7 linked regions of the Sus scrofa genome follow. The protein of the gene in region 3 interacts with the protein of the main gene of each other region in a pairwise test. Links are inferred from orthologs where the notes say so. Each region holds a gene or a part of one and is shown on either strand. Other genes may lie near its edges. The genes, in order: TFAP4, SCNM1, GOLGA2, PATL1, PQBP1, PRPF31 and MAGOH.

Region 1 (4,058 bases), on a different chromosome or scaffold from region 3:
CTGTACTGTACAGTCCTCGCTGGCAGGTCTGGGCGACAGAGGCATGGAGCCCTGCTGGTCACCGAGGGATGGAGCAAAGTCCACCTGCCTGAGAAGCCAGTATATCCGGCCAGAAGGTCCCACCCAACTCACACCCGATCCGTGACAAGCTTCCTACCTCACCCAGCAGCTCCCAGAAAATGAACAAACCCAGAGGCCCCAGCCCCACACCCAACGCATGGGCTGACAACAATCTCACAGCTGGGCAGGCCCAACTCTGGAGACCCCTATGGGTCTGCTGGACTCCTCCAAGGGGGGCATGGAACAGAAACAGAGCCAAGCCAGAGTTCTAGGGGGCCCAGGGAGGACACGGCCAAGGCCCAGACCAGGCAGCCTATGGTCCTCTGGTGCCAAGCCTGCCTGGGATCAGTCTCCGCATGTCCTCTGCAGCATTTGAGGCAGCTCAACCCATCTCCTCATTGGCCAACCCTCCTCTGAGCAACCAGCAGCTCTGGGACCAAGGTTCAAGTTCCAGCCCCAGCACCTGCCTTATCTCTTCCTTTCCAGACCTGTGTCCTCATCCCGCACAGGAAGCCATAAAGCCACTTCACTCGGGGGAAGATGCTAAGGACTCAGAAAAATCTCCCCAAAGGAGTCTCTACAGCATATTAATAGCTCCCGAATTTTTTCTTCTTTTCCCTTATTACAGCTAAGCTCTCCAGCTGGACCTTGGAGAAGGGCCAACACTCAGAGCCCCTCTGCTGAGCGTAGTTAAGGTGGGAGCCCTGGGACGGGGGCGGCGGTGTGCAGCAACCTTCCCGCAGACAGGTTTTGACGGGCCCTGGTGTCCACCAGCCTGGGCCACACCGCCCTGAGCTCCTCCTCTCTCAATCCCCGCCTTGCCCGCCCCGGGGCGGCAGAGCACGTGGCTCCAGCCCTGGGGAGCCATTTCGCTACTAGAGCAGGAAAGGGGGCCACAGGTCCCAAAGTTGGACACGCAGAGAACACCCCCATGCAGCGCCGCCATCCTGCCGGTTGTGTTCAACCTGCAGATGTTCGGGCCCTTCTAGAGATCGGAATTGCGGGCATGTGAATTTTAACAAGTGTCCGCTAACCCATCACTCTCCGGGGAAGGGGAGATCCAGAGGATCCCGGGCAAAACTTAGAAGGTGGCTCCTGAGGAGGGCGACGGACCTCGGACCACCCACCCAACTGGGTAGCGGGCTGGGCAACCAGATGCTTTCGGTTTATGGCTGGGGGAGGGGCGTGAGACAGGAAAGTTTGCAGTGGGGACCCACGTGCTGCAGGCAGCGGCTTGGTGAGGCTAAAAGCGGACTCTGCTGCCCCCTCTCCGGAGAGCCCCCCGACCGGACCTGCCTCCAACAGCCCGCCCGCGGGGTCCAAGCTTTGTGCGGGGAAAGCGTGGCCCTGGCGCGCCTACAACTCCCACAATGCCGTAGGGACGCGGAGCCCAGAACTACAGCTCCCGCCTGGCGGCGCGCGGAGGTCCGCCTACTCCAAGAGGGCTGCAGAGTCACGTCCAGGCCTCGCTAGTAAACAGCGCCCGGGCGCGGGCGGCGAGCGAGCTGGCGGCCGCCAACGTGCCAGGGTCCACAGCGCTCCCGGCGGGCGGCGCCGGCCCCTCGGGTTCCGCACCCCCCTCACACCCTCGAACTCCAGCACGCCCCCAGACCCCGCTGCAGCCCAGCTCCCTGCAAACACTCACACCACCGGCTCCCCGCCCCCCCGCGCCCAGAGCCGCGGCGTGGCTGCATTGTAGCCGCCAGCGCCGCGGCCCCACGCGCGCCCCAGGCCCCCCCCAGAACCCCTTGGAGGGGGGCGCCCAGAGAGAGTGATGAAGGAGGGAGAGGAAGGAAGCCACCGCGGGAGGGGGGAGGAGGAAGCGCGGGGGGGAAAGCCACCAGCACCAAGCATGGCCGGGACTGCTGCAGAACCACGTGGGTCTGTTTGCAATTTACAAACGTCGCGACTCGCCCGCCTGCAGCGGACAAAAGTGACCGGGGCCGTTCGGGGCCCCCACGTTCCGAGAGAGGAGGGTCCCTGGGAGGCCCGAGCCCGGCGCGCGGGACTGCAGCCGCCCCGGCGGCTAAGAAAGGCGAGAGGGTCCGCGGCGCGGGCCATGCGTGCGCACACGCGCGCCCGCCGGAGCGGGCTGGCCAGGGGCTGCAATCATAGGAAGAGGGTGAGGGGGAGGAGGAGTACACACCTACAGAGCCCTCCTATCACTTCTTTCTCTGTTTTCCTGAAATGTTGCAAAGAGGGCACCTTCTGAGTGGGCACCATGAAATACTCCATAGCGATCGGCCCCCCTCCTCTGCACGAGCCAGGTCCCGCGGTCCGCCGGAGAATGCAAGATGGAAATCCGAATCAAAGGGCAGCGCCGGACGGAGGTGCAGAATCGGCCGGTCCCAGATGCTGGCTGCGGCGGCGGCGAGGGGAGGGAGGCGGGCGGGAGGGGCGGGAGGGAGGTCTCTCCGGCCTGCCTCCCCGGGCGTGTGTATGTGCGTGTGTGTGTGTGTGTGTGTGTGTGTGTGTGTTTGCAGCTGATCAGATGTCTGTTTCAAGGCGGGAAACAGCTGGTGAAAACTCAGCACTCCCCCGGCCTCCTTCCGCGGAGTAAGGAATTGCATGTAAACAAAGGACTATTTGCAGCGCCCCCAGGGCGGCGCGAGGCTGGGGCAAGAGGGGCGCTGGCCCCCAGGGCCGAGTGGCGGTCGGGGTCTGAGGGCCTTACCCCCCAGCTGGGGGTGCGGGGGCCGCCGGTCCTCCTGGGGGACGCAGCGTGAATGGAGCGAGCTGCGGCCGAGCTACATGCGCCACTATGGGTGATGAGGTCCATCAGCTGACAGGTTGGCAAGCGTAGCAAAAAAAAAAAAAAAAAAAAAAAAAAAAAGACCAGCCACTGCGAGGGAGCCCAGCCTGTACGCCTGGGGTCCGGCGGGGACCGCCGGGTGCAGACCCTGCGCGCTTGGCCGCCCTCGGGGTGCGGGGGCTCGCAGCTGGGCCCGGCAAAGGCGAAGGTGGCCTGCGGTGCTGCTCTGGGCTTTTTTCACGGTTGCAACTGCACGGAGAGGAGCCGCTCTGGCGCGCTCCCTCCGAGCCCAGGGCCCCCTGGAAACTTGCGTCACAGCTACCGCTTCCCACATGTAACTTGGGGCCGACTTCAGAGGCCGGCCAGCCCCCTCCCTCACTCCCTCCCTGCCCAGCTGCCCGCTGCTGGCCGTCTGGCCTGGGCTCCGGAGCTTGGGAATCCCGGAGCCAAGGAAGGGAGGGCAAAGGGGGGCGCGCCGGGCGCCTGGGATCCTGGGGCTGCCTTAGGAAGCAGGGGCCCTGGCGGGGAGGGAAGGGAGGCGGGCCAGGACGGCAGCGGCCCCGGAGGCAGGCTGCCAGCGCGGCCGGGAGGTCCGGTGGCTGCTGCGGGGTCTCCACCTCTCACCCCTCTGCGGGGAGGCTGGACGGCCCGAGCCTCGCCCCAGCTTGGCCGCGGTAGGCGGAAGGCTGCAGCTTCCCATTCGTGGCGAAGCCCGTGCGGGACCTGCTCCTCCGCCAGGGTGCGCTCTCTACTAGGGGTGAAGGCCTGGGGGTGGGGAACACCGTGGCGGCTGGCTTCCGCCCCCCCCTCCTTCCTGCGTCCCCTCCCCAGGCTCCTGGAGGTTGGCCCCTGGCTCAGGAAGACCGCGCCTGCCTTGGAATGTCCTCCCTCCTGCCCACCGCCTTCCTCAAACCTATTCGCCTTCCAGGTTCCGCCCAAATCGCGCCTTCTAATTGAAATACTCCTACTCAAGACAAGGATTTCTGGTTTTAGTAGGAACCGTTATTGTTCTTAGATATTCCGAGTATCTTGCAGATGCCTAGCCCTTTTACGGGTATAGTTTCCAATCCTTCAAAGTCAGCTGCTGGGCTGTTTCTGTAAGTACAGATCCTGGACCATGTAACACCACAGTCCCCGGGGGGCTTCCCTGTGTGGACAGGAAGGATGGCATGTGGGGACAACATAGGATACAGAGCCACCCAACTGTATGCCCTGATCACTGTCCACAGTGCCTGAGTGAATGAAT
Region 2 (4,316 bases), on a different chromosome or scaffold from region 3:
ATGCCTTCAGTCCCTTCTGCTCTCACAGGGTGGCTAAGCCCTGGCCCTGTTTCCAGACCTGTCCAGCTCCCACCCCCACCCCACCCAGTGCCTACCCAAAAACTTCATGTCATTTGAAGGAGGAAAAGACTCTGAGTGGAGGTGGGGAAGAAGTCAGACAACATGAAGGGCAAAGACCTCCTTCTGACAGACTTATTTTAGGGCACCGGGCTGCATGCAGCTGACGCTTGGCATGACTTTGGTAGAAGTGGGGGGAGGGGCTAGAAGTATGGGGAGCTGTGTACATTGCAGGGAAATATTGGCCAGGCTGAGAACGAACAGACCTGAAATCCTGAAATGAGACAAGGAACCAGACTCAAGGAAAGTCAGGCTCCCAGCGCCCACTATAGTTTATTTGTGAACTGAATGGGGAAAGAGTGTCAGTCCAAGGGGAGATCAGGGGGTTCCTCTTCATCAGAATCAAACTCAACATTCTCATCTTTTATCCATCGACCTTGTCCATCTGGGATCCATCCAGAACTGGAAATATCAGAACAAACAGAATCGATCAGGAAAGGAAATGTGTTAAGAATTTAGTAGCGGAGTTCCCTGGTAGCTCGGTAGTTTATAGATCTGCATTGTCACTGCTGTGGCACACTTCTGCATGCTGTGGGCATGGCCTCCCGCCCCCCCCAAAAGCTAGTAGGGATAAGTAATATTTGAGGTTTGAAAAAAGGAGAGCCAGAGAGAAAAGGGACAATCTGAGGAAAGTGATTCCGTACACTCACCTTCGAAGGGTGAGATAATGATCCAGAGCCCGTCTTCTTGTGGGGCTCATAGGTGCAGGGGATGAGACAGTGGCTGATTCCTTGGTTTGTGATGCAGCCGCAGGCTCAAGTTCCCTACTGATCCTCTCACTTTGGGATTCAACCTCTGGGGGTGAAAAAGCGGAACGAGAGACAGAGGGACGAGGGGCTTCTGGTCTGGGTAGAGAAGAATCAAAGTCTGTAAAAGCAGTAAAGGAAAGGACCAAATCTCCTGTAACTCCCAACCCCTTAAAGCAGTGCTTCCTAAACTGTATTCCTCAAGATATTAACAGGTGTTCTGCATAAAAAGGATTTTGGAATCAAATGAACTTAAGGAAAGCCTAAGTTAGTTTTTTCAGCTTTTTTTTTTTTAAGACTGTGTAGAACCCTGAAAATATACTGTTACTATTCTTTTTTTTGGTCTTTTTAGCGCTGCACTGTGGCATATGGAGGCTCCCAGGCTAGGGGTGAATGCAAGCTACAGCTGCCAGCCCTTACCACAGCCACAGTAACATGGGATCCGAGCTGTGTCTGCAACCTACACCACAGCTCACAGCAACACTGGATCCTTAACCCACCAAGCAAGGCCAGGGATCAAACCCTCATCTTCATGGATGCTGGTCGGGTTTGTTCACCGCTGAGCCATGATGGGAACTCGTAATATTACTATGCGTCAAACAGGATTACAAAATCCTATTTCCCAAACAAAATTCTTTTTTCCTGAAATTCAAGTTAGCATTTCCAGAACACTAGTATTCCTCAGAATCCAATTTGGAAAACAGTACTTTAGAGCGATCGATCTCCTGTTCCTCCCTACTTCTGGATTACCCACCCCACAGACCTGTTCTTTCGGCGGCAGCAACTGTTATAGTGAGGAGCTCTGTGCAGAGCACTCTGGGTAATAAGTCGAGTCTGGGTTAACAGAGGAGCCTGGCATGGAGATGGGAGACAAAGTCAGAACCTTCAGAGCTAGAAAGAATCCAGAGCCTTCAAGCCTAAGGTGTGCAGCCTGGAACACACCCTCCCCTCTCTGATTACCTCTGCTTTGGTCTCTTCTCTCCTCAATTCATTCTGTTGTCTTGGATTTGGCTCCAGGCCCTTTCCTGGGTGCTTCTTGCCATAGAAAAGCTGCAGGCCTCAGGAGAAAGGGAAAGAGAATTAAAAGGAGGGCACCCAGAGTGAATAAACCCTTTAAGGGTTTATTCTCTATGCTCTGTCTTCCCACAAACTTACTGGACAGATGTTTCTTGCCTGCACGGTGGGCAGTCAACATGGCCAGGGTGTCCAGTACCGGTCGGTGAGGACAGATGGCACAAGCAAAGCTAGAGAGGAGGAGAGAAGATAATTGGTTCCTGGGGAGTGGAGTCTCTGCCATAGGTTCCACCACAGCCTAGAACTCCTTTCCAAAGCCCAAATCCCAAGTCTCCCAGTCTCCACCACCAACATCCCTGTTACTCACTCCCCGCCAAAGATTCCTTGTTCTTTCCAATCTGCTTAATAACAAAAGTTTGTTGAGCCTCTAACCGCAGAACCCCCAGGCTTGATCCACTCCTAGTCCTCACCGTCCATCCCGTAGCATCAACGCCTCATCCTCTGGGATGTAACTCGCCAGCAGGTCCCCGACTCTCCGTTTCTGCAGGGAACAAGGGAAGAAATGAGGACGGGGTCAGCTGGATATGAGGGAGGAACAAAAAGGAAATGACAAGGACGAGGACTCAAAGGGAATAAAGGCCACAAGAAGGGTAGAGATCTGGGCTGAAGAAGGGGTGTCGGCCCAGTTCCAATCGTCTGGCTTCCTCCGCCCCCCTCCCCCGAGTTGTTGCCACAGCAACAAAACAGCTCCCTCACAGCCTTCAGACGGCAACTGAAGCTGCTCCAGATGCTCTCCTCTCGCGCTTACTTTGAGCACATTGAGTTGACTCCAATCGTCCCCTTCCCTCTTGAAAGACATCACGACTGTGAGAGCCCCAGAAATATAAGTTTTATCGCGCCGCGTTCGCCACTCCTTTCAGGCCACCGTAGCAAGAGTGGGACGTCTCCTTTCTTTCCTGTCTCTTTCCGGTTGGCCCCCTTACTTCCGGGATGCGCTTCCACGCATGCGCCGCGCGATCCCGAAAACCCGCCTCTAGCCCATAGAGGGGACTGCATTTCCTATGGTGCTCTGCGACCCCGCCGGCGCGGAGCCTTTTGGGAAATGAAGTCTTTTTTCAAAGAGCTTGCCGCCCTGCCCGATTCAGGCCCTTGCATCTTGGCAGATTAGAGGCGTTTGGAGAAAGAGGAACCTAGCTGTGGATCCCGAGTTTGAGAGTGTGACTGATTTGATGCGGAGCGTACCTTTGAGGATCTCTCAGGGGAAAGTGTGCTACAGATTCTCGCGGTCATCACGCCCTTCGCCTGAGGCCACAGCCCACCTGGAGTGGGCCTGATTAGTTCCCGACCCTAGCGACCAAGCCCGGGACGCGCGGAATCGGGGTTGGGGGCTGGGAGGTCTGGCGGACCGACCTGGGGGCAAACTCTGTAGTGTAGAGGAGGGTGTCTAGTGGTCAAAGGTCAGAGGTCAATGTCGCGAGTTGTGGGGGATCGAAAGTCGGAGGGGTACTAAGGAGAAACTCAGGTAGGGACTGAACAGTCAGGTTACAGGTTTGTGGGAAAAGGCCTTGGAAGGCGGGGAAGCCAGGAGTCAGAGGTCGCCTAGTGGGGGGAAGGCGGAGAGACTTAGGAGAGAACACAGAAAGGGAAAGGAATCCTCCAGATTTTCATTCCCAGACCCCGGGCCTGTCACTATCGGTCACTTGGCCGGGCCTCCCGCAGTTGCAACTCCAGTTGTCCGCAGGGTGAGGAGATGGCCTCTCCCTCTAGACAGGCCCCCCTCGGGGGGTCAGGACTGCTTCAAGGGAGCCGGGCTCGTTCTTATGGAAGCCTTGTGCAGTCTGCCTGCTCCCCGGTGAGGGAAAGACGCCTGGAGCATCAGTTGGCGCCCGGAGACACCCTGGCTGGACTAGCACTCAAATACGGGGTGACGGTGAGTCTTCCAGGATTGGGACGCAGACACTCAGAAAAGATTTATTCCTCATGAGGATATAGTGGCCCTCTGGGCAACTTCACCTGAAATTTTCCTAATTGTGTCTAAATTAGTTAATTGTGATAAATTAATTGACAAGGGTCCCATCTCGTGTTGCACTGTCTGGTTGAGACAAATCCTGTCTCAATATCCCGGTGGAGGTGAGCAGCTCTTATTTATTATACCAGTCACTATACTAAAGACTTTACATCCATTAGCGCATCTGATCGTCACATCCCTATCAAGCATACAATTATTATACCCTTTTTATAGGTGAAGAAACTGAGACTTAGATTGGTTAACCAATTTGACCAAGGTCAAATAACTAGTAAGTGCTGGAGTGAATATTCAAACAAATCTATCTTACTCCAAAGCCCATACCCTTTTGTTTTATTTTGTTTTGGCCAGGGATTGGCCAGGAAGTTCCTGGGCTAGGTATTGAACCCTCACCACAACAGAGACACAGCAGT
Region 3 (3,571 bases):
TTGAGGGTGTCTCGCTCTTTGGTTAATTCCTTGTTGTACTGCAAAGGCGGAAGGCTGAGGTCAGGAAAACAGACTAACGGCAGCAACAGTAACTCTCAGCAACGTGTCCTCACCTGGTGTCACACTTTACATGTTTCCAAAGCCCTTCCCAAGTTCACGTTCGCATTCAGTTTTAACAGGAACTCGGGAAGAGTGGAAGAGGTGGGTGGAGGGTCTAACTCCCGGCTGGCTGGCTCCCAGGCCCGGGGCCGGCAGGTAATACCACCAGCTCTATCACCGTTACCGTCACCAGGTCTGAACCTTTTCCAGCACTTTCCCCTTTCAGCCTCATAATCACCGTGGGAGGCGGTTACTATTACTGCCTCCATCATACAGGTGCCCAGCACGGAGTAGCAGAGAGCAAGTGGCTCCCCCAAAATCACCCAGAGCTGGGACCAAGCTTCCAGGTCTGTTGGATTCCTTTGTTCCTTTTTAGGGCCACACTCGTGGCATGTGGAAGTTCCCAGGCTAGGGTCAAATTAGAGTTGCAGCTGCCAGCCTACGCCACAGCCACAGCCAGGTCCGAGCCGCATCTGCAACCTACGCTGCAGCTTGCAGCAATGCCGGATCCTTAACCCACTGAGCGAGGCCAGGGATCGAACCCACATCCTTATGGATACCAGTTGGGTCCTTAACCCGCTGAACCACAACGGGACCTCCCAGGTCTGTCTGATTCTTTAACCACGTTTTCTCCCTGGGGTGGGGGGGTGCATTATGAGGGGGATTGAACTGTATTGTGAGCTTGTGTTCATGGTTTGAGTGGATGGTACCTCTGCAGAGCCCCAAACTCAGAAGGTTCAGAAGTGACAAGTCTCTCAGCCACCCTGTTCCTCCCCACCAGGTTGCTGTGAATCCCTCCCCACATGTCTGAATACATCACACACGCGTGCGTCTCCCCTCTTTAGTTTGGCAACGTACTAAAAATACCGTCATGGACCTTCACAGTCCAAATACCTAGCATGGGGGCCAGGGCCCACAGCCAGGCAAGGGCAGGGCTGGCACTCGGACTCTGAGCTCTGCATCCAGGGCTCACACTAGACAGCACCTCCACTGTGACTGCACTTGCGTGCACGCCCACACACACACACACACACACACACCACACACACACGGGCAACTGGCCCATGGCAACCAACTCATGCCTGGGTTGCTTCTATCAAGCACACGAGTTTAGAGCAGCGGGAAGTGGCCAGTGCCGCCTTCTGGGCAGCAAGTCACCCCATCCTGTGGAAGGGACCTCTGGGCTCACTCGCCCTCCACTACACGTCCGGGGAGGGCTAGGCTGCCGGGCTCACCCTATCGGCCTGCTTCTGCTGCGTGGACACGGCAGACAGCGTCCGCTCCAGCTCGCCCACGCGCTGCCTGGAAGACTGCAGGCGACTAGCCAGATTCTCCGACTCTCCTGAAAGGACGGCGTGAGAGGTGAAGCCCGAGGAAGGACTCCCGCTCCAGGCCGGCCAGCGTGCCCGGCCCAGGGGGTCACAGGGCACCCAGGTTCCCACCTGCTTTTTGCCGGGCTGCCTGCTGGGTGTGAGCCAGGGCGGTCTGCAGTTCCGTCTTCTCAGACACTAGAATCCCGATGGTCTGGATGTGGACCTGTGGGACAAAGGCCGAAAGGGGGGCTTGAGAAGCAGCAAAGTCACGTTTCCCGGAGGCCGCGAGGGAACCCGGCAGGATCCACTCACCTGCAGTTGTTCTCTCAGAGCCCCTTGTTCCTTCGCAAGCTTCTGCTCAAATTCCTTTTTTTCCTGCGGGAAGAGAGGAGAAACAGCTCTCACCTGGAGGAGGTGCCCCCCAGAAAGCCACCACTGGCCCAGGACAGTCTCACCAATGAGAACATATAATCGGGGGTGAGGGAGGGGTGGCGAGGGCCAGGGAGCCCCCCATTTCTCCGGGCTGCGATCAGGCGCGAGGAGAACGGGCCTCTACGTCTCAACCCTCCCCCGAAGCCACCAGCCGTGAGGGGGACAGACACAGAAATCACGTTACTTTTTCCAGTTGATCCAGAGTTTCCTGGTTCTCTTGTTTCTGTGGGGAAGAAGCAAAGGGAGGAGACTGAGGTCGGCCCCCTTTCCCACAATCCTCAGACCAAGGAGGAGGGCTGAGCAGGGGCCGGGGGTGGGCTTCAAAGGAGGAGCTGCTGGGGACACGAAGGGGCCATCGCTTCTCAGCCAAGAGACTCTGGGTCTTGGGAGGTGGGGCTCACAGCTACAGAAGCCAAGGGTCTGAACCTGATTCCCTTGCGAGGACAAGGACATAAGCCTCTCGAGCTGGAGTGTGAGAAGGGAGCGACCACATCCTCCGCCAGCTCGCAGTCTGGGAGGCTGCATCCGCTCAACACGCACATACCACGGGCTGGGGTGTTCTTACCAGCAAGGATATAGGAATGAGAAGGACCTTCAAATCTTTGATTTTTTTTTTTCTTTTTTTTCCAGCTCAAAGGGACCTTGGACGCCCTCTAATTCTACCTCCTAAAGCCCAGGGAGGACAGGTGACTTGTCCAAGGTCAAAGTTGGAGCGAATCAGGGGCTGAAGCCGGGGCTGGGACACCCTTGTCAAGCTAGTGTTACCCACAGAGGCACCAGGCCCAGGGCAAGGGGGGGGAGGACTCAGCAGGGGCGTCTGGAGAACAGAGGAGGCAAAGAGGGCAGCCACAGAGAGAGCCATGCTGCATGCCGCACTCCCGGGTCCCTCTCACTGCAACCTGGGCCCCCGGCACCCCATTCTCCCTCGGTACCAGGGGCCCCCAGCCCCTTTCTTCGGAGCCCCAAGGTGGAACTGGAGCCCCAGATTGGCAGCGTGGAATCGGGGACAACACTGGACTCTTACCAATTCCTCTATCTTGCTACTGAGTTGTTTGTTTGTTAGATTGCTGGAGTCCAGGGCTAGTGATAGTTCGTGGTACCGGCTCTGAGGCGCATGCAGAGAGGAGGAGGAGTTGGAGGAGGGTGGGGGGAGAGGTAGAGAGAGCAATCATTAGGGTCGGGGGGTGTCTGAGCTGTCTCAGCTGGCAGTGGGGAACCTAGCCCCCGCTGTGGGAGGAGGGGGGGGGCGGGAGGTGGCTGACCTGCAGGGTCACGGGGCCACGGTCCAGGCCCACTTACCTCCAGCTTCTTTATGTTAGCAGGAGATGCTAGGCCCTCCCCATTGATATAAGGTGAAGACTAGAAGAGATGAGAGGGCTCACATGGAGACGTTCTCCGTCCCCCTCGAGGCCTAAGCCCTCCGACATCCTGTCTTGCCCATCGACTGGCAGCATTTCCTTTTCTGCCTAAGCTGGTCCCCTTCCCCCTGCTCAAGCCCTCTGTGCCAGCTTCTCTGTGTCCCTCCCTCCCAAGCAGCTCCCATCAGCAGGACAGAACGGTGGAACCAGTCTCATGGTCCAACCCCTTCATCTGTACAGCTACAAAGAGGAGACTCAGGGAAGTAATGATTAGCTAAACATCGTCCAGCCAAGCTGGCCGCTCCCAGGACCTTCCCTCCGCCTTGGGAATCTCTGCCTCGGTTCCTTTCTGCCACCTTTTCCTTCCCT
Region 4 (3,571 bases), on a different chromosome or scaffold from region 3:
GACTAAGATCCATGAGGATGTGGGTTCAATCCCTGGCCTTGCTCAGTGGGTTAAGGATCTGGTGTTGCCATGAGCTGTGGCATAGGTTACAGACAAGGCTCAGACCTGTCGTTGCATTGCTGTGGTTGTGGCGTAGGCTGGCAGATGACCCTTGGCCCAGAAACTTCCATGTGCCGCAGGCACGTCCCTACAAAGACAAAAGAAAGAAAACATGACAAAAATCCTAAGTACGTCCCCCTTATCTATTTTACAAATACTAGAAATTATCACAGGTTTAAAAGTCATGGACTCTGGGAGATCCCCCCACGGTGCAGTGGGCTTGTCTCTATGGAAGTGCTGTTCGAGCCCCTGGCCAGCGCAGGAGGTTAAAGATCCAGCGTTGCCATAGCTGTGGTATAGGTCACAGATGCATCTTGGATTAGATCCCTGGCCCAGGAACTTCCATATGCCACCCATGCACGCAGCAAAAAAAAAAAAAGAAAGAAAAGAAAAAGTCTTGGACTCTTAGTAAAGGATCTGAAAGGCCATCTGTCAAACCATTCATTTCATGCTTGATTAACACTGACCCCTGCATTTGCCAAGGACAACGGTACTAAGTCAATCAGTTTCAAACATCTCTATCTAATCATCTATACAGTTATTTACAGTTGTCTGTCCACACCCATGCCACAGCAGTGACTTGGGCCCCTGCAGTGACAATGCTGGATCCTTAACCTACTGTGCCACAAGGGAACTCTCTTTTTTTGCGTTGCACCTGGGGTATGTGGAAGTTCCTGGGCCAGGGATCAAATGTGTGCCACGGTTGTGACCTATGCTTCTGCTACGGCAAAGCTGGATCATTACGAACCCTCTGCTCCACAGAGGAACTTCCTACACAATTATTTTTATTTTATCCTACCAGCACCATGTCACATTTTTCAATTTTGGGCATGAGGATGGGACCTTACCTGGCTTATAGGCATGCTCCAGCTTGGCCACCTGAGGAGTAATGAGCTTGGTGCGCTCCTTTTTAGGGCCATCACCTTGCACTTCTTCAGCAGCTGAGAGTTTCTCCAGTTTTTCAAAGTAATTCTACCACATGAGAATATGATTTTAGTTGCAACAAGCACAGAATATGGCTGCTCTTTATCACTAAATAATTAATTTATACTAGTGGCAGCACCACCACCTTGTACTCTATAAATGTACTGATCTTTTGTTTTTGTTAGATTGCAATGAATTTACTTTATTAAAAAATCTGGAGTTCCCGTCATGGCTCAGTGGTTAATGAATCCGACTAGGAACCATGAGGTTGCGGGTTCGATTCCTGGCCTTGCTCGGTGGGTTAAGGATCCAGTGTTGCTGTGAGCTGTGGTGTAGGTTGCAGACGTGGATCGGATCCTGCATTGCTGTGGCTCTGGCGTAGGCTGGTGGCTACAGCTCCGATTCAACCCCTAGCCTGGGAACCTCCATATGCCGCGGGAGCGGCCCAAGAAATAGCAACAATAACAATAACAACAACAACAACAACAACAAAAAAAAGACAAAAGATAAAAAATCTGAGCTTTCAAAATAATCATCAATGGAAATATCTTTAAAGTCAGACTGTCAATATTCTTTTTTTTTTGTCTTTTTGTTGTTGTTGTTGTTGTTGCTATTTCTTGGGCTGCTCCCACGGCATATGGAGGTTCCCAGGCTAGGGGTCGAATCGGAGCTGTAGCCACCGGCCTACGCCAGAGGCACAGCAATGAGGGATCTGAGCCGCATCTGCAACCTACACCACAGCTCACGGCAACGCCGGATCGTTAACCCACTGAGCAAGGGCAGGGACCGAACCCGCAACCTCATGGTTCCTAGTCGGATTCGTTAACCACTGCGCCACGACGGGAATCCTTTTTTTTTTTTTTTTTTTTTTTTCTGTCAATATTCTTAATCGAAGGAACCAGATTGCTGATGCCAAAGAGATCTGAAAATACTGGTCTGAGAGCCTCTACATGGAAGAAGCAAAAGGGGTGTATGCAAACATTTTAGTGAATAGTGTGAGTCTCCAGTTTGAAAAGAGGACAGAATTTGCTCAGTCACTTCTTACCTACTTGAAGACTACCTCAAAAAAAAAAAATCCTATCAATATTAATTCTATCAATATTAAAATGAGTGCCTTCACCAGCGCAAGAGACTAAACTGTTATCCTCAAAACTGGCAAGAGAATTTACCTGGTAATAAAAATCATCCAGGTAGGGGTCAGTGCTTTGCAGCTGCATCATCTGGATTTTGGAGACCCAATCCTTCTCTCGCTGTAACATGAGATTGGCATATGGATCCTTTCGGAGGTGATCTTGATGACTGCTCCGGTGACTTCCTCTATCTCCTGCACCATTGAGACTGCGATGCTGACTGAAAAAGAAATACATGCCACATTCACTCCAAGTGGATACATGAATTATGCCTTATAACACAAACCAGGCCAGTTAAAAAAAAGATTTCCCTTACTTCTGTTAAAAGAGAAGTGGAAAAGAGAAATTCCTGCTATGGTACAGTGGGTTAAAAATCTGACTGTAGGAGTTCCCGTAGTGGCGCAGTGGTTTACGGATCCAACTAGGAACCATGAGGCTGCGGGTTCAGTCCCTGCCCTTGCTCAGTGGGTTAACGATCCGGCGTTGCTGTGAGCTGTGGTGTAGGCTGCAGACACGGCTTGGATCCCGCGTTGCTGTGGCTCTGGTGTAGGCTAGCGGCTACAGCTCCGATTCAACCCCTAGCCTGGGAACCTCCATGTGCCTCGGGAGCAGCCCAAAGAAAATAGCAAAAAGACAAAAAAAAAAAAAAAAAAAAAAAAAAACTGACTGTAATGGCTCCAGCTGCTGAGGAGGCCTGGGTTCTATCCCTAGCCTGGCAGAGTGGGTTAAAGAATCTTGTGTTGGATCTCATTGTGGCTCAGCAGTAATGGACCTGACTAGTATCTATGAAGTTGTGGGTTTGATCCCTGGCCCTGCTCAGTGGGTTAAGAATCTGGTGTGGCTGTGGCATGGGCCAGCAGCTGAAGTTCTGATTCGACCCCTAGCCTGGGAATTTTCATGTCGTGGGTGCAGCCCTGAAAAGCCAAAACAAAGGAACAAACAAAAAACCTTACTGAAAATCATGACAGACTTCAAACATATAAAAGATCAGCAAACACTATTATTAAAAGCATCTATTTACTCACCATTTAGACTTAATAAAAAAATTTTACTTGATCAAATTTGTTTCAGATTTTTAAAAAGTAGTATTAGCAGTACAGTGTTACGTTGAAGGCCCGTCTATACCACGCTGGATCCTGGTTTCCAGCTCCCCTTCCTTCTTATAGGAACCACTATCCTGATTTTGGTATGCATCCAAAATGTTTTTATGCTTTTATTGTATCTCTACTTTTAAATATTATACAGTATTATTCTATTTTATATAAATGGTACTAGAGACACAATTCTGCTCCTTGCTTCTTACTCAACATTATGTTTTTCATATTTAACCATGTTGACAATATACTCAGGTATATACTGAAAAGTAGAACTGCTAGGATGAACTACAGCCATATTATCAACCTTGTTATTTATTGCTA
Region 5 (4,073 bases), on a different chromosome or scaffold from region 3:
ATGCCTCGGATCTGGCGTTGCTGTGGCTGTGGCGTAGGCCGGCAGCTGTAGCTCTGATTCGACCCCTAGCCTGGGAACCTCCACACGCCGCGGGTACGGCCCTAAAAAGCAAAAAAAACAAAAAAGTGTATCCGGAGTTCCTGTTGTGGCGCAAGGAAATGAATCCAACTAGGAACCATGAGGTTGCAGGTTCGATCCCTGGCCTCGCTCAGTGGTTAAGGAGCTGGCATTGCCCTGAGCTGTGTGTGGTGTAGGTCCCAGATGCCACTTGGATCTGGCGTTGCTGTGGCTGTGGTGTAGGCTGGCAGCTGTAGCTCTGATTAGACCCCTAGCCTGGGAACCCCCATATGCTTCAGGTGTGGCCCTAAAAAAAATAAAAATTAAATAAAAAACGTGTATCCATGTTTGTTTAGTTCCTGTGTTCAGACAGTATGTGACACCCTGCTATCCAAATCTTTTTTTTTTTTTTTTTTTTTTTTGGTCTTTTTGCTATTTCTTGGGCCGCTCCCGCGGCATATGGAGGTTCCCAGGCTAGGGGTCCAATCAGAGCCATAGCTAGCCACCGGCCTACGCCAGAGCCACAGCAACGCGGGATCCGAGCCGCGTCTGCAACCTACACCACAGCTCACGGCAACGCCGGATCGTTAACCCACTGAGCAAGGGCAGGGACGGAACCCGCAACCTCATGGTTCCTAGTCGGATTCGTTAACCACTGCGCCATGACGGGAACTCCCCAAATCTATTTTTATGTATCGTTTTGTCTTTTTAAGGCCACACCTGTGGCATGTGGAGGTTCCCAGGCTAGGGGTCAAATTGGAGCTGTAGTTGCCACTCCAGGCCACAGCCACAGCGACACAGGATCCAAGCCCCACCTGAGACCTACACTGAAGCTCATGGCAATGCCAGATCCTTAACCCACTGAGTGAGGCCAGGGGTTGAACCCGCGTCCTCATAGATACTAACTAGGTTTGTTAACTACTGAGCCATGACGGAAACTCCCCGCTATCCAAACCTATTTGGACAAAATTAGTTTGAACAGCAAAGGTTTTATCTAAAAACGTCCAAATTCATTCAGTTCTCCAGCTTGGCAAATAGGGAGTTTCTGATTCTAGTATATTGAGTAGCAAGTTTGGAGAGCAAGGCATTTATCCAAACACTGCTCTGAATATATTCAGCTCCTGAGACCTGCAACTGTTTTCAGTTACTATCAACAGAATAAAAAAGGTGTATGAGTGGGGGTTCCCATTGTGGCTCAGCAATAACGAACCCGACTAGCATCCACGAGGACGAAGGTTTGATCCCTGGCCCTGCTCAGTGGGTTAAGAATCTGGCACTGCTGTGAGCTGTGGTGTAAGTCACAGATGCAGCTCGGATCTGGCATTGCTGTGGCTGTGGCATAGGCCAGCGGCTACAGATCTGATTCGACCCCTAGCCCGGGAACTTTCATATGCCGTGGGTGTGGCCATAAAAAGACCAAACATTTTAAAAAAGGTACATGAGTACCTGGACCTCAGTTGGCCGATCACAGGTTTCAACTGTGTATACAGCTAACAATGAAATGTCTATTTCAGCAATAACATAGTGCCTGTCACACAATAGGTCCAAAATAGATCATCAGCTATAATCATTAGTGTTGTTAGTAAGAAACGTACCACGGGCACAAGGCCCGGTATTCAGTAAGCTTAAAATAAATATCAATGACCATTATCCGTATTATTAACCAAAGATCTATGCTTGGCACACAACAAACCTGTAATAGATGTCACCTGTCAATAAAGTGAAAATGAGTTTTCCAGTACACGGCCACACCTTAGCCCAAAATAGATGCCAACTTTTACTGTAATGACAGTAAGGTATAAATACTGGCAACGGCAGCACAGCAGGCCAAAATGACAGATCCTATCATTATCCTTGTTTTGTTTTTTGTTTTTTTGCCTTTTCTTGGGCCGCTCCCGCGGCATATGGAAGTTCCCAGGCTAAGGGTCCAATCGGAGCTGAGCTGCCAGCCTACGCCAGAGCCACAGCAACGCCAGATCCGAGCCGCGTCTGCGACCTACACCACAGCTCACGGCAACGCTGGATCCTTAATCCACTGAGCAAGGCCAGGGATCGAACCCGCAACCTCATGGTTCCTAGTCGGACTCGTTAACCACTGCGCCACGACAGGAACTCCCCTACCATTATTTTACATACTGTAAACCATAATGCATATGCCAGCCACTTAAGCAGACCCGAAATACATGTCAGTTATTGAACTGGTGAACAAGTCGGTATATATCGCCTGAACAGTACCTGGCTCTACAGTAGATCTGAAAAAAATGTTACCTACTAGTATGGTAAAGAACAAAATATCAGCCTCCTCCCACTGTATTTGGTCCAAAAGAGGCTGTAATAGATGTCAGTTTACTATTAATATCCTTAGATACTCTTCCAGGGATCGATTGGATTAAATCTGGCGTATGAAGATCCAAGATAAGCATCAGCTGTCAGTATTAGGTACGACTAAAGCTGAAATGTCTATTCCCTGCCCCACCCCCACCGTAGGCGTCCGCGCGCACGCGGTAGGAATCGGCGTCAGGAATACGTATTGTTTACAACAAAATGTCTGCCAGCCCACTGCTTGGTATATAGTAGGCCCATACTAGGGATCGAGTGGCAATATCAACAACAAAGTGCCTGTCAAGCCTGGCACATGGTAGGCCCATCTGCTCTTAGCTCTCTCACCGGGCTCGAGATGTTTGAGGATGCCTCTCTTGGCCAAGCGGGTCTGCAACGCAACGGGCAGCGGCATAGCGGGTAGCAGACAGACCTAGGGAAGGACAGACGAGAAAGCAGTTCAGATAAGGATTTGAATCTGGAGCTCGTAAGCAAGCGCCTCTCCCCAACATGCACTCATCTAGACTCCCACCTACCCACCTGCACCAGGAGCTGGGCAACAGAACCTACCCGCTAAAAGGTGGAAGGGATAAACGGCAGTATCACCGAAATTCTCGCCAACTCTCCTCTCCAGGCGGGGTGCTCCGGGACAGGACTCCTCTCCCAGGCCTCCTCTCCCAGGCCTAGGCTCCACCCATCGCCGAAGGGGCCAAGCGCCGCTCCCCCGCGCCCCAGAAATGGGCTCACCCAACGTCCCCCAAAGACTGCCGGGTGGAAGGAACCAAGGAGCAGGGGTGGGGGGAGCAGGGTTTCCTCTAGCTCCAAAAAATGCGCCCACCCCGACATTACCAATACAGTCACGCGGGTTGCGGAAGGCTGTCAGACTGTCGGCCTCTCTCTCGACGCCTTTATGATCGCCAGGACCACGACTCTTTTTCTCCTGAGGGAAAGAATGAGGCCCTCTCTCCCTGAGCCAGAGGTAACTGGGCGACGCTCGGGCTGCAGAGAACAGATGACGGAAACCTAACTGGCCAATGAGAGTGCGCCTTGGCCTGACGTCTGGCGAAAGGACCCAATCATTACCTTGGAATAGGTGGAAAGCTCGGGCGCCTGTGTGCGTTTACAGTGGGGGTGTGGCCCGGCCGGGATTTAGCCAGACTGCGCGGCCGGACGCCGGCGCCATGGAGGAGTACGCTCGGGAGCCTTGGTACGGCGAGGGGCACAGGCCTCGGGACTCTTGCTGCGGCGCCACGGCCAGCGGTGGGAGGCGGGCGGGGGAGGCGCTGGCTACACAGCGCCACGTCCCAGACTCGGGAGACTTTTAAACGTTTGTTGTCTCCTTCCGCTCCCGTCCACTTGTTTCCTTACTTGGGCTCCGTTAAGAGGGGCCACAACTGTGTGCTTGAAGGAGCTGGTGCGGTGCAGGACGAACCACTCCACGTTTCCCTTGACTCTTGTCCCCGGTCCCTCTTGTTAACGGAAAGAGACACGTTGGTCGAATCCATTCCAGCCGGGGGGTGGTGTGTTGCTAGGCGGAAATCCCCAGGGTTACCGCGCGTGGTTTTTCCCAGGTCCCTTTGGTGAATGGAGGCGGGGCTTGGGTGAGCCCACTGTGGGCAAGGAGGGGGTGTCGGATCGTCCCCACGGTCTGCAGCTAGGTTTTTCCTCCCTCGTGCAAGGTGAAGAAAGGGAAGAGC
Region 6 (3,571 bases), on a different chromosome or scaffold from region 3:
ACATGTGCAACTTCCAGCCACTCCCGCAAAGAGAGCGAGCCCTCCCTTCCTGCTCTGCTGGCGGGGATGGGAGGCGACAGCAGGAGGCGGACAGTCACCTGGTGCCAGGAAATAGGCAGCAGATCAACCAGACAGAGAGAGCCTGGCCTCCACCCAGCCTTCACATGAGAGGAAGATGCGCGTCCCTCCCGCGTGACCAGTGTTACAGCAGCTGAACCTGGGTTCGAGGTCATGGGAGCAGGGCCCTGGGATCCCACGTACCCCTCCCTTGGGGACAGGAAGGGGCCATGGGGGACACGGCGTGGGGCTGGCTCTGCTTGCCCTTCCCGGCACTCACTCAGCTCGTTCTCGATTTCCACTGTCAGGTTGTTGGCGTCCACGATGACCGGGTACTCGGGGGCCGCCTCCACCGGTCCCATCACTGTGAGGACGGGAAAGAGCCCAGGACAGCTAAGTGTCTGAGCCCCCACCTCCCTGCCGGGTCCCACAGCCGGGAGATTGGGGGTGGGGCTGGAGGGCAGCAGGAGGAGCGGGTGAGGGCAGAAACAAGGGGACAGGTTTGTGTGGCTGTGAACCTCTCATCTCTCCCCCCAGGCCAGTCTAGACGGGACCCTATCTCGCCCTAGAACAAAACCCCGGGAGCTCCCACACCCCTGAGGCGAACGGCCAAGCTCCCCAGCCAGAGGTGCAAGGCCTCCCGAGACTGGAAGCTCTGAGAGGACAAGCGCTGTGCTGTTGCCCCCGGCCGCACCCCGCGCCCGGCCACACTGGAGCTGCTCCACGGGCACCTGCCACCTCACTCCGGTCTGGGCTCTGCACCCTACCCGCCGCCTCCTCTCCTCACACCCTGGACTCTTCCAGCCCAGCCATTAAGGACAGACTACAGTGCCTGGACCACTCAGGGCTGCTTCCCTCTCCTCCAGGCCTTTGCACATGTTGTCCCTCCTGCCTGGTACAGCCCCTCCTCGCATCTGTCTGTAGAACACTACCCAAGCCTTAACAATTCCAACGATGGTGCTGGTGGGCTTATCGGGGCAGGAGGGGCGGCAGTTGACACAAGACTTACAGAGACTTGCAATGTGGGTGACAAGGCTCTAAGCATCTTCTAGGCATTGACTGAGCCACAGCCACCCAGGGAGGGTGGTGCTAAATTAGAGGAGACACAGCAGGACAGAGCCAGCAGATGGCAGAGCTCGGGTCTGACCCCAGAGTCCACGTTCTTGACCCTGGCGCTCAAAGGCCTCTGTGCCCTGAGACTCAGAAGGCACCCGAGGAGGGTCAGATGTCCCTGTGCTCCCACCACACCCAGAAGTCACGAGCCACCCGGTTTCGAGATGCTTCATGTCGCTGAGTGTGGGATCGGATCTGACCGAATCCAGGAAATGATGCTCCACGGCTCTCTGGACGGAGAAGCCCCCCGCCAGGCACTCCAACCCCGCAGCGTCTGGTGCTTCTTCGGCCTCTCAACCACCAGGGATGCCCGAGGTTTTGCACGAGCAGCTCTTTCCCTGGGCTCCCGTCCCTGTTTTTGGCCTGACCTGCGTACTCATGCTTCAAAGCCCAGTTCGGACACCAGGTCCTCCCTGACTGAGGCGGCTCCCAAGTGTCCTGAGTGCCCCTCATCCCAGCAGGCACCTTGTGCCGGTAGCTGTCAGCTCCTGTGCATTTGGAGGGCTGAGCCCACCCAGGCCCCAAGCTAAAGGAGGGAGGCAACGAGTGCAAATCGCCCTGAGACTCTGCTCTGACCCAGTGCGCCCGCGCCCAAAACCTCCCTTGGTTTCCACTGGAGCCCCGGCTTGACGGGAAACAGGACTGTCCTCAGAGCTGAACCCGCAGGAGTCGACCCCGTCTGCCCCGAGCGGAAGCGAGGAGAGATTTTACATGATGCTCTAATAGTTTTTAGGGCTACTTTTCTGCATTTTCGTGGGCACTTTCTATTTACCAGAAGATACCAGCTGTCCATCCACAGCAGTGCTGTCCCCCCCTCTCAGGTAAACTTAAAGAAAAAAGTATGTTGACAGAGTTCCCATCATAAGCGCAGTGGAAACGAATCTGACTAGGAACCATGAGGTTGTGGGTTCGATCTCTGGTCTTTCTCAGTGGGTGAAGGATCCAGCATTGCCGTGAGCTGTGGTGTAGGTCGCAGATGCGGCTCAGATCCTGCATCGCTGTGGCTCTGGTGTAGGCTGGTGACTGTAGCTCCGATTGGACCCCTAGCCTGGGAACCTCCATATGCCACGGGTGGGGCCCTAAAAAAAAAAAAAAAGAAAAAAGAAAAAAGTATGCTGACTTAAAAAAATTTAAAAAATAGGAGTTCCCGTCGTGGCGCAGTGGTTAACGAATCCGACTAGGAACCATGAGGTTGCGGGTTCGATCCCTGCCCTTGCTTAGTGGGTTAACGATCCGGCGTTGCCGTGAGCTGTGGTGTAGGTTGCAGACGCGGCTCAGATCCTGCGTTGCTGTGGCTCTGGCAAAGGCCAGTGGCTACAGCTCCGATTGGACCCCTAGCCTGGGAACCTCCATACGCCGTGGGAGCGGCCCAAAGAAAATAGCAAAAAGACAAAAAAAAAAAAAAAAAAAAAAAAAAAATTAAAAAATAACAAAGTAAATAATGAGAGATGTAGTAAAACCTTGTAACTGAGCCTATGAGTCCATAAAGTCTGGGAAGCCTTGAGCTAAATCCTATTGCAATTCGTCAGCGCTCAGCACAGAGCAGGTACTGAAGAAGCGTCACCTGCCTTTATAATGCGACGCACTCCTGGGAGGGAAGGGGTCCGTCTGGAAGAGGGCTCTGGCAGCGGGTGAGAGAGAGCCAACGAGCAGCAAAAGGGCTGAGGGGCCTGGCTGGAGAAGAGTGTGTGTGGGGGGGTGCTGGAGAAGAGCGGGGAGGGCTGTCGGGGGGGTTACCTTCCGCGGCATCGGCCTGCTTGCTGATGTACTCCTCGATCTTCAGCATGATCTCAGCAAACTGCTCAGGGAGGAGGAAGGTCAGAAGCCAGGACTTGCCGGGAAGCAGCTACTGGCCGTGTCACCCCGCCCTCCCGGGAGCTCCTCTCACCATCTTGCTGTCCCACAGCTTGGCGATGCTCTTGACCGAGTCCCCGGAGAGATCCAGCTGTGTCTCCTCCTGCACATCCTCGATTGCCGGCTCCTCCTCCTCCTCCCCATAGCTTCCCCCTTCCTCCTCCTCTGCCGCCTCCTCAAGGTCAGCCAGGAGCTCGTCCGCCAGCGACATGCCAAGGCCTGTGGGCTGGGAGAGCACGGTTCCCCCTCATCACGGAGAGGGCCTCCCCCGCCAGAAGGCCCAGGTCCTTGACGGGCCCCGCTGGCCGGCAAGCTCCGCAAGAACGGGGACATTCACTTGCTTTGTTCTCCAGCTCCTAACTGCGCCTGGCATACAGCAGGTGCCCAGGAAATACCTCCCAGACCCAGAGGGTCTCCGGTCTCAACTTCCTCTGCCCACCCTCCTCACCCTCACTTCACGAGCAGGACACTGCACAGCCTCACTCTGCCACCTCACTAGGACGAGAAATACTCCCTCCGCTTGGCGGGTGCGCCTCTCCACACATCC
Region 7 (4,129 bases), on a different chromosome or scaffold from region 3:
GAACCTGTCTCCCAGGCTTAAGTCCTCAGTATGTCTGTCAAATAAAACATAACTCTCAACTTTTGAGTTTTTTTTTTTTTCCATCAACACTATTAAATAGCCTCCCAGCAAAAAATACAGCTGATAATGAATTATAATTCTTGCCAAAGGCAGCTCAGTTGTGATTAAAGAACAGACTCTTTTGTGACAGGCAAATCACATCTCTGCAGATTAATGCCCTCAGCTGAAAAACAGGAGTAACCGATAACTTACCTACAGACAGGGCCCCCTGAGGCTCAAGAGTTGTGAAAGCATTCTGAAAACTGTTAAAATGCTTTTTACGTATATAAACAAGTGACTGTGCAACACTCTATAATCTATTCCTGTGATATTATTATGCATATTTGGTATAAAAAGTCATATGTGCATCCAACAGGTTCACCTGAGTATATATGGTGGATATGAAGAAGATAAAAGGAAATAAAGGAGATAATTTTTTCCCTACAGAACAGAAGGCACACTAAAAAGAGCCACACTAATTGACGCCTCACTGTACCGTCTCTCTGCCTCAAGTTCCTCTCCTTTCAATTCATTCTCCATACAGTGGACAAAGTGATAGTTAACAGATCTGATTAGGTTACTCTAACACTTTGATACCAACAATGACTTCCCACTGCCGTCTTGATAAAACCCAAATTCCTCAACATGGGTTACTGCTACGCTGAGCCCACTTCCAGGGCCACTCCTCCAAAAGTCCTCTTGCACATAGCTGGAGTTAATCAAATTACAGCTGACCCATAAACAACCTTGGGCATAGGGCACCCAGCCTCTCTGTAGTTGAACACTGGTATAACTCAGAGCCAGCCCTCTGCATCTGCAGTTCCTCTGTATCCACGGTTCCTCATCTTGGACTCAACCAACTGTGGATCATGTAGGTCTTTCCTACTGAAAAAAATTAAGTGGACCCATGCAATCAAACCCATGTTGTTCAAGGGTCAAATGTGTTTGGTTTCTGCCTGAAACACCCCATTCACTTTTTGGGTTTCGGTCTCTTCGCTGTTAATGCTTTCTGAAAATGCCTTCTTGACTCTCTGCCTAACTCCTTCACATTACTAAAGGCTCAAACCTCCACTTCCCCATGTCATCTTATTCAAGAAGTCTTCTCTGACCTCCAGGCTGGGTTAGGTGCCTTCCTTCTGCTCCAAGGGTCCTTTCTGTGTCTTTCTACCCCAGTAGCCACTACACTGTCTTGTCTTTGTTTGCTAACAAACCTATTTCCTTCACAACCGGGGCGTGTCAGTTCATTTTTGTGCCCCCATTTAGGATAAATTTTCTGTCATCTTTGATTCCTTTTCTTTCACTGTACTGGCGCCTCCCCAAATCTATCACTTGGCAAAGTCCTACTGGTTGTGCCATCAACAGTATGCCATCACTATCACTCTAGTCCCAACCAACATCCCTTCCGTCTTAACAATTCTGCCTCCTATTAAGTAGTTTTCATTCTTACCCATTCTGCACCTAATAACTACAAAACTTTTTCAAGAACATATTACATCTCTCCTCTGCTTAAAACTTTCAAATTGCTTCCTGCTGCACTTAGAACAAAAATCCCAACTCTACCACACCCTATAAAGACTATATGGTGTGACCCTTGCCTGTTTATCAGGCTACTTACTATTCTCTCCAGAGCTCACTACTCTTCAGCCACACTGGCCACCTGAAACATGTTTAGTTCATCCCTGCCTTATGGCCTTGATACTTGTTTCTCCCTCTGCCTAGAATGCTCTTCTACCTGAGAGTCACAAGGCTGGCTCCTTCTTGTCAATCAGAACTCAGTTCATATATCTGCTCTTCAGAGAGTTCGCCTATGGCCACCCTTTCTAAATGCAGTCCACCAGCAATTATACCATCACTTTGTTTTCTGACCACTCATCACTATCTGGAATCTTCTTTTTTTGTTGCTTTTTGTTTGTTTGTTGTTTACAGATCTCCCAGCACGGGAATCTAAGTTCCATGAGACGGGAAGTGTTCACTCTTGTATCCCAGATGGTGGAACAGAGCCTGGCACAAGGTAGGCGCTCAAGGAACGTTTACTGAATGAATCATTGTGGTCAGAAATGTCACTAAACAGAAGATTCTGAACACGAAAAGAACCAGTGGGGAAGACACAGTATCGTTCCTTCCAAATCGGCGCCTCACAGCCATCAGTCTCTTCCTCCTCCAGTTCCTCGCACACTCCTCCCACTCGCCCGTCCCCAGGCCTACACCTCGCTCCCGTCAGGCCGGACGCTTTTCTCACCGTCGGGTCGAAACTCAAACTCCAGGAATTCGTGGCCGAATTTGCCCTTGTGACCCACGTAGTAACGCAGATAGAAGTCACTTTCCATGGCTCGCAAAAGGTATCCGAGACCGAACTTTAAGAGCAAACCGCACCTCTGCCGTAGGCGCCCGACACTGACGTAGACAACGGCGCGCGGAAGTGACGCCAGACAACTCCGCCTCCGGGCGTAGAGCGACCCCTCCCGACCCGCGGGCCAAGTAGGCTCCGCCCCTCCTGGCGGAACGAAGCCCTTCCCCACGGAGGCGGGATTGGTGTAGCCCCGCCCCCTCAGCCGGGGAGGGAGGGAGGTTGAGGTTTGTAAGCCTGCGTCCTTCTGGGCCTGCGGTCCAAGGGGTTCTAGAGCTTGGTAGGAGGACGAACGTGGTCTGGAGTCCGCGTTTTAAGACCAAGGGCTTACACTCCAAGTCCTGCGTCCTCTGAACCTCCACCTTCCTTCAGGACACCTGTCTGTGTGAGTGGGACAAAGCCCTTTACTCTCTCTGGGCCAACAGTAAAATAGGGTTATAGGACCCAAAACTCATAGAACGCCCCGCACTACGCTGCATGTGTCTAACGTTGGCTCAACTGAACCCTGCTGTTTAAGGACCAGTTCAAGAAACCTTTCTCCGTGACGCTTTCCCTGAATCCACAGTGGAGCTTGCCATTTCCCTGTAACAAACTCGCCTGCACTTATCTCTTTCAAGCTTTTATTTCTTCCTTTGCTTTTCTACCTCTCTGGTCTTTAGAAGAGATGCTTTGAGTAGGAGTTAACTATTTAATCGCCCATTCCCCAGTCATCCAAAGGGTGGTGGTGAAATGACCTATATAGCATTCTAGAAAAACAACTCTGGCTTCAATATTGTAGACTGGATTGGAAAATGAGAAGATCAGAAGTATGAAATTCATAGGCAAAAGAGAACAAGACGTAGCTAGAGCGGTAGGGGGGAAACCAGGTGTATAGCATCCTGTAAGCCAAAATAAGAGTATTTCAAGAACGGAATGCCAACAGTGTTACATACTGCTTCCAGGTCAAGGAATATAAGGACTGAAAATATCTGCAAGGTTTATAATTAAGAAGGTCCTGGGTGACCTTGGTAAAAGCAGCCTCACTGGCATGGGAGTGAGAGGCAGAGTGGAAATACTGGGATACAGGTAGGCGAAATTTGTTGTGGAAACACAGATGGTTACCATATCTTATGAGTCAGGTCTGAGTCAGGGAGAATAGAGAAGGCTTCGGAAGTGGAATACTCAAGGACAAATAGGAATTAGCCAGAGGAGGCAGAGAAGGAAAATGTAGGCAGAGAACGCCACATGCGCATGAGCACTGCATGTGCGACACGTACTTTGGGGGGCACTAAAACATAAGTGTCAACTTTGGGCAGTTCCTTCACCCGTTTCCTCATCTCTAAAATTCAAACAATAATATTGATCCTCCACACCCCCCTCATTGAAGCATCACAATGAAACAGTACTTCCAGATTTTAAAAAATGAATTTAATCTCTAGAAAGAGTGCATTTATTTTACAAACGTCCACATTTGGTTTTTAGTTCATCAAGATGATGTAAGTCAACTAGTGAGATGCAGCACATCACCCTTTGCCTCTGGAAGAGAAACCAGACTCCAAAGGGGACCGAGTACAGAAGCTAACGGAACTTGGAAGGACAAGACAAAAAGCAGAAATGGTTAGGGGGACCCCACATTCTAACATGCCTGTTACATCAAATACAGTCAAATGTGGTCCTTGAGGGGTGCTGGGGTGGATACAAACAAGGAAAATTTTGTCTGGGTACAATGTGATGGAGTTTACAAACCAGTACTTTACCCCACAT

The links.
Region 1: the proteins of GOLGA2 (region 3) and TFAP4 interact in binary tests that used the Homo sapiens proteins (3 or more experiments, as listed by UniProt). The two-hybrid records come from large-scale screens. The link is inferred for Sus scrofa from reciprocal best matches to the Homo sapiens genes GOLGA2 and TFAP4.
Region 2: the proteins of GOLGA2 (region 3) and SCNM1 interact in binary tests that used the Homo sapiens proteins (3 or more experiments, as listed by UniProt). The link is inferred for Sus scrofa from reciprocal best matches to the Homo sapiens genes GOLGA2 and SCNM1.
Region 4: the proteins of GOLGA2 (region 3) and PATL1 interact in binary tests that used the Homo sapiens proteins (3 or more experiments, as listed by UniProt). The two-hybrid records come from large-scale screens. The link is inferred for Sus scrofa from reciprocal best matches to the Homo sapiens genes GOLGA2 and PATL1.
Region 5: the proteins of GOLGA2 (region 3) and PQBP1 interact in binary tests that used the Homo sapiens proteins (3 or more experiments, as listed by UniProt). The two-hybrid records come from large-scale screens. The link is inferred for Sus scrofa from reciprocal best matches to the Homo sapiens genes GOLGA2 and PQBP1.
Region 6: the proteins of GOLGA2 (region 3) and PRPF31 interact in binary tests that used the Homo sapiens proteins (3 or more experiments, as listed by UniProt). The two-hybrid records come from large-scale screens. The link is inferred for Sus scrofa from reciprocal best matches to the Homo sapiens genes GOLGA2 and PRPF31.
Region 7: the proteins of GOLGA2 (region 3) and MAGOH interact in binary tests that used the Homo sapiens proteins (3 or more experiments, as listed by UniProt). The two-hybrid records come from large-scale screens. The link is inferred for Sus scrofa from reciprocal best matches to the Homo sapiens genes GOLGA2 and MAGOH.

Annotation. Positions count from the first base shown.
Region 1 is NC_010445.4:38,046,490-38,050,547, reverse strand, and holds the start of TFAP4 (transcription factor AP-4), read right to left. Parts: upstream 2,853-4,058; 5' UTR 2,631-2,852; coding exon 2,266-2,630; coding exon of another isoform or gene 2,207-2,265; intron 1,697-2,206; exon of another isoform or gene 1-1,696.
Region 2 is NC_010446.5:98,079,520-98,083,835, forward strand, and holds SCNM1 (sodium channel modifier 1), read right to left. Parts: upstream 2,856-4,316; 5' UTR 2,737-2,855; coding exon 2,686-2,736; intron 2,419-2,685; coding exon 2,348-2,418; intron 2,108-2,347; coding exon 2,019-2,107; intron 1,922-2,018; coding exon 1,824-1,921; intron 1,716-1,823; coding exon 1,627-1,715; intron 963-1,626; coding exon 768-962; intron 520-767; coding exon 420-519; 3' UTR 325-419; downstream 1-324. Other genes in the region: LYSMD1 (lysM and putative peptidoglycan-binding domain-containing protein 1), read left to right, coding at 3,628-3,807. UniProt on the Homo sapiens protein: As a component of the minor spliceosome, involved in the splicing of U12-type introns in pre-mRNAs. Plays a role in the regulation of primary cilia length and Hedgehog signaling.
Region 3 is NC_010443.5:268,710,147-268,713,717, forward strand, and holds part of GOLGA2 (golgin subfamily A member 2), read right to left. Parts: intron 3,204-3,571; coding exon 3,144-3,203; intron 2,950-3,143; coding exon 2,869-2,949; intron 2,068-2,868; coding exon 2,029-2,067; intron 1,788-2,028; coding exon 1,725-1,787; intron 1,636-1,724; coding exon 1,542-1,635; intron 1,442-1,541; coding exon 1,335-1,441; intron 39-1,334; coding exon 1-38. UniProt on the Homo sapiens protein: Peripheral membrane component of the cis-Golgi stack that acts as a membrane skeleton that maintains the structure of the Golgi apparatus, and as a vesicle thether that facilitates vesicle fusion to the Golgi membrane.
Region 4 is NC_010444.4:11,841,571-11,845,141, reverse strand, and holds part of PATL1 (protein PAT1 homolog 1), read right to left. Parts: intron 2,374-3,571; coding exon 2,193-2,373; intron 1,072-2,192; coding exon 948-1,071; intron 1-947. UniProt on the Homo sapiens protein: RNA-binding protein involved in deadenylation-dependent decapping of mRNAs, leading to the degradation of mRNAs. Acts as a scaffold protein that connects deadenylation and decapping machinery.
Region 5 is NC_010461.5:42,975,383-42,979,455, reverse strand, and holds the start of PQBP1 (polyglutamine-binding protein 1), read right to left. Parts: upstream 2,811-4,073; 5' UTR 2,792-2,810; coding exon 2,725-2,791; intron 1-2,724. Other genes in the region: TIMM17B (mitochondrial import inner membrane translocase subunit Tim17-B), read left to right, coding at 3,411-3,583. UniProt on the Homo sapiens protein: Intrinsically disordered protein that acts as a scaffold, and which is involved in different processes, such as pre-mRNA splicing, transcription regulation, innate immunity and neuron development.
Region 6 is NC_010448.4:56,004,982-56,008,552, forward strand, and holds part of PRPF31 (U4/U6 small nuclear ribonucleoprotein Prp31), read right to left. Parts: intron 3,251-3,571; 5' UTR 3,236-3,250; coding exon 3,059-3,235; intron 2,969-3,058; coding exon 2,908-2,968; intron 422-2,907; coding exon 338-421; intron 1-337. UniProt on the Homo sapiens protein: Involved in pre-mRNA splicing as component of the spliceosome. Required for the assembly of the U4/U5/U6 tri-snRNP complex, one of the building blocks of the spliceosome.
Region 7 is NC_010448.4:158,986,906-158,991,034, reverse strand, and holds the start of MAGOH (protein mago nashi homolog), read right to left. Parts: upstream 2,864-4,129; 5' UTR 2,367-2,863; coding exon 2,279-2,366; intron 1-2,278. UniProt on the Homo sapiens protein: Required for pre-mRNA splicing as component of the spliceosome. Plays a redundant role with MAGOHB as core component of the exon junction complex (EJC) and in the nonsense-mediated decay (NMD) pathway.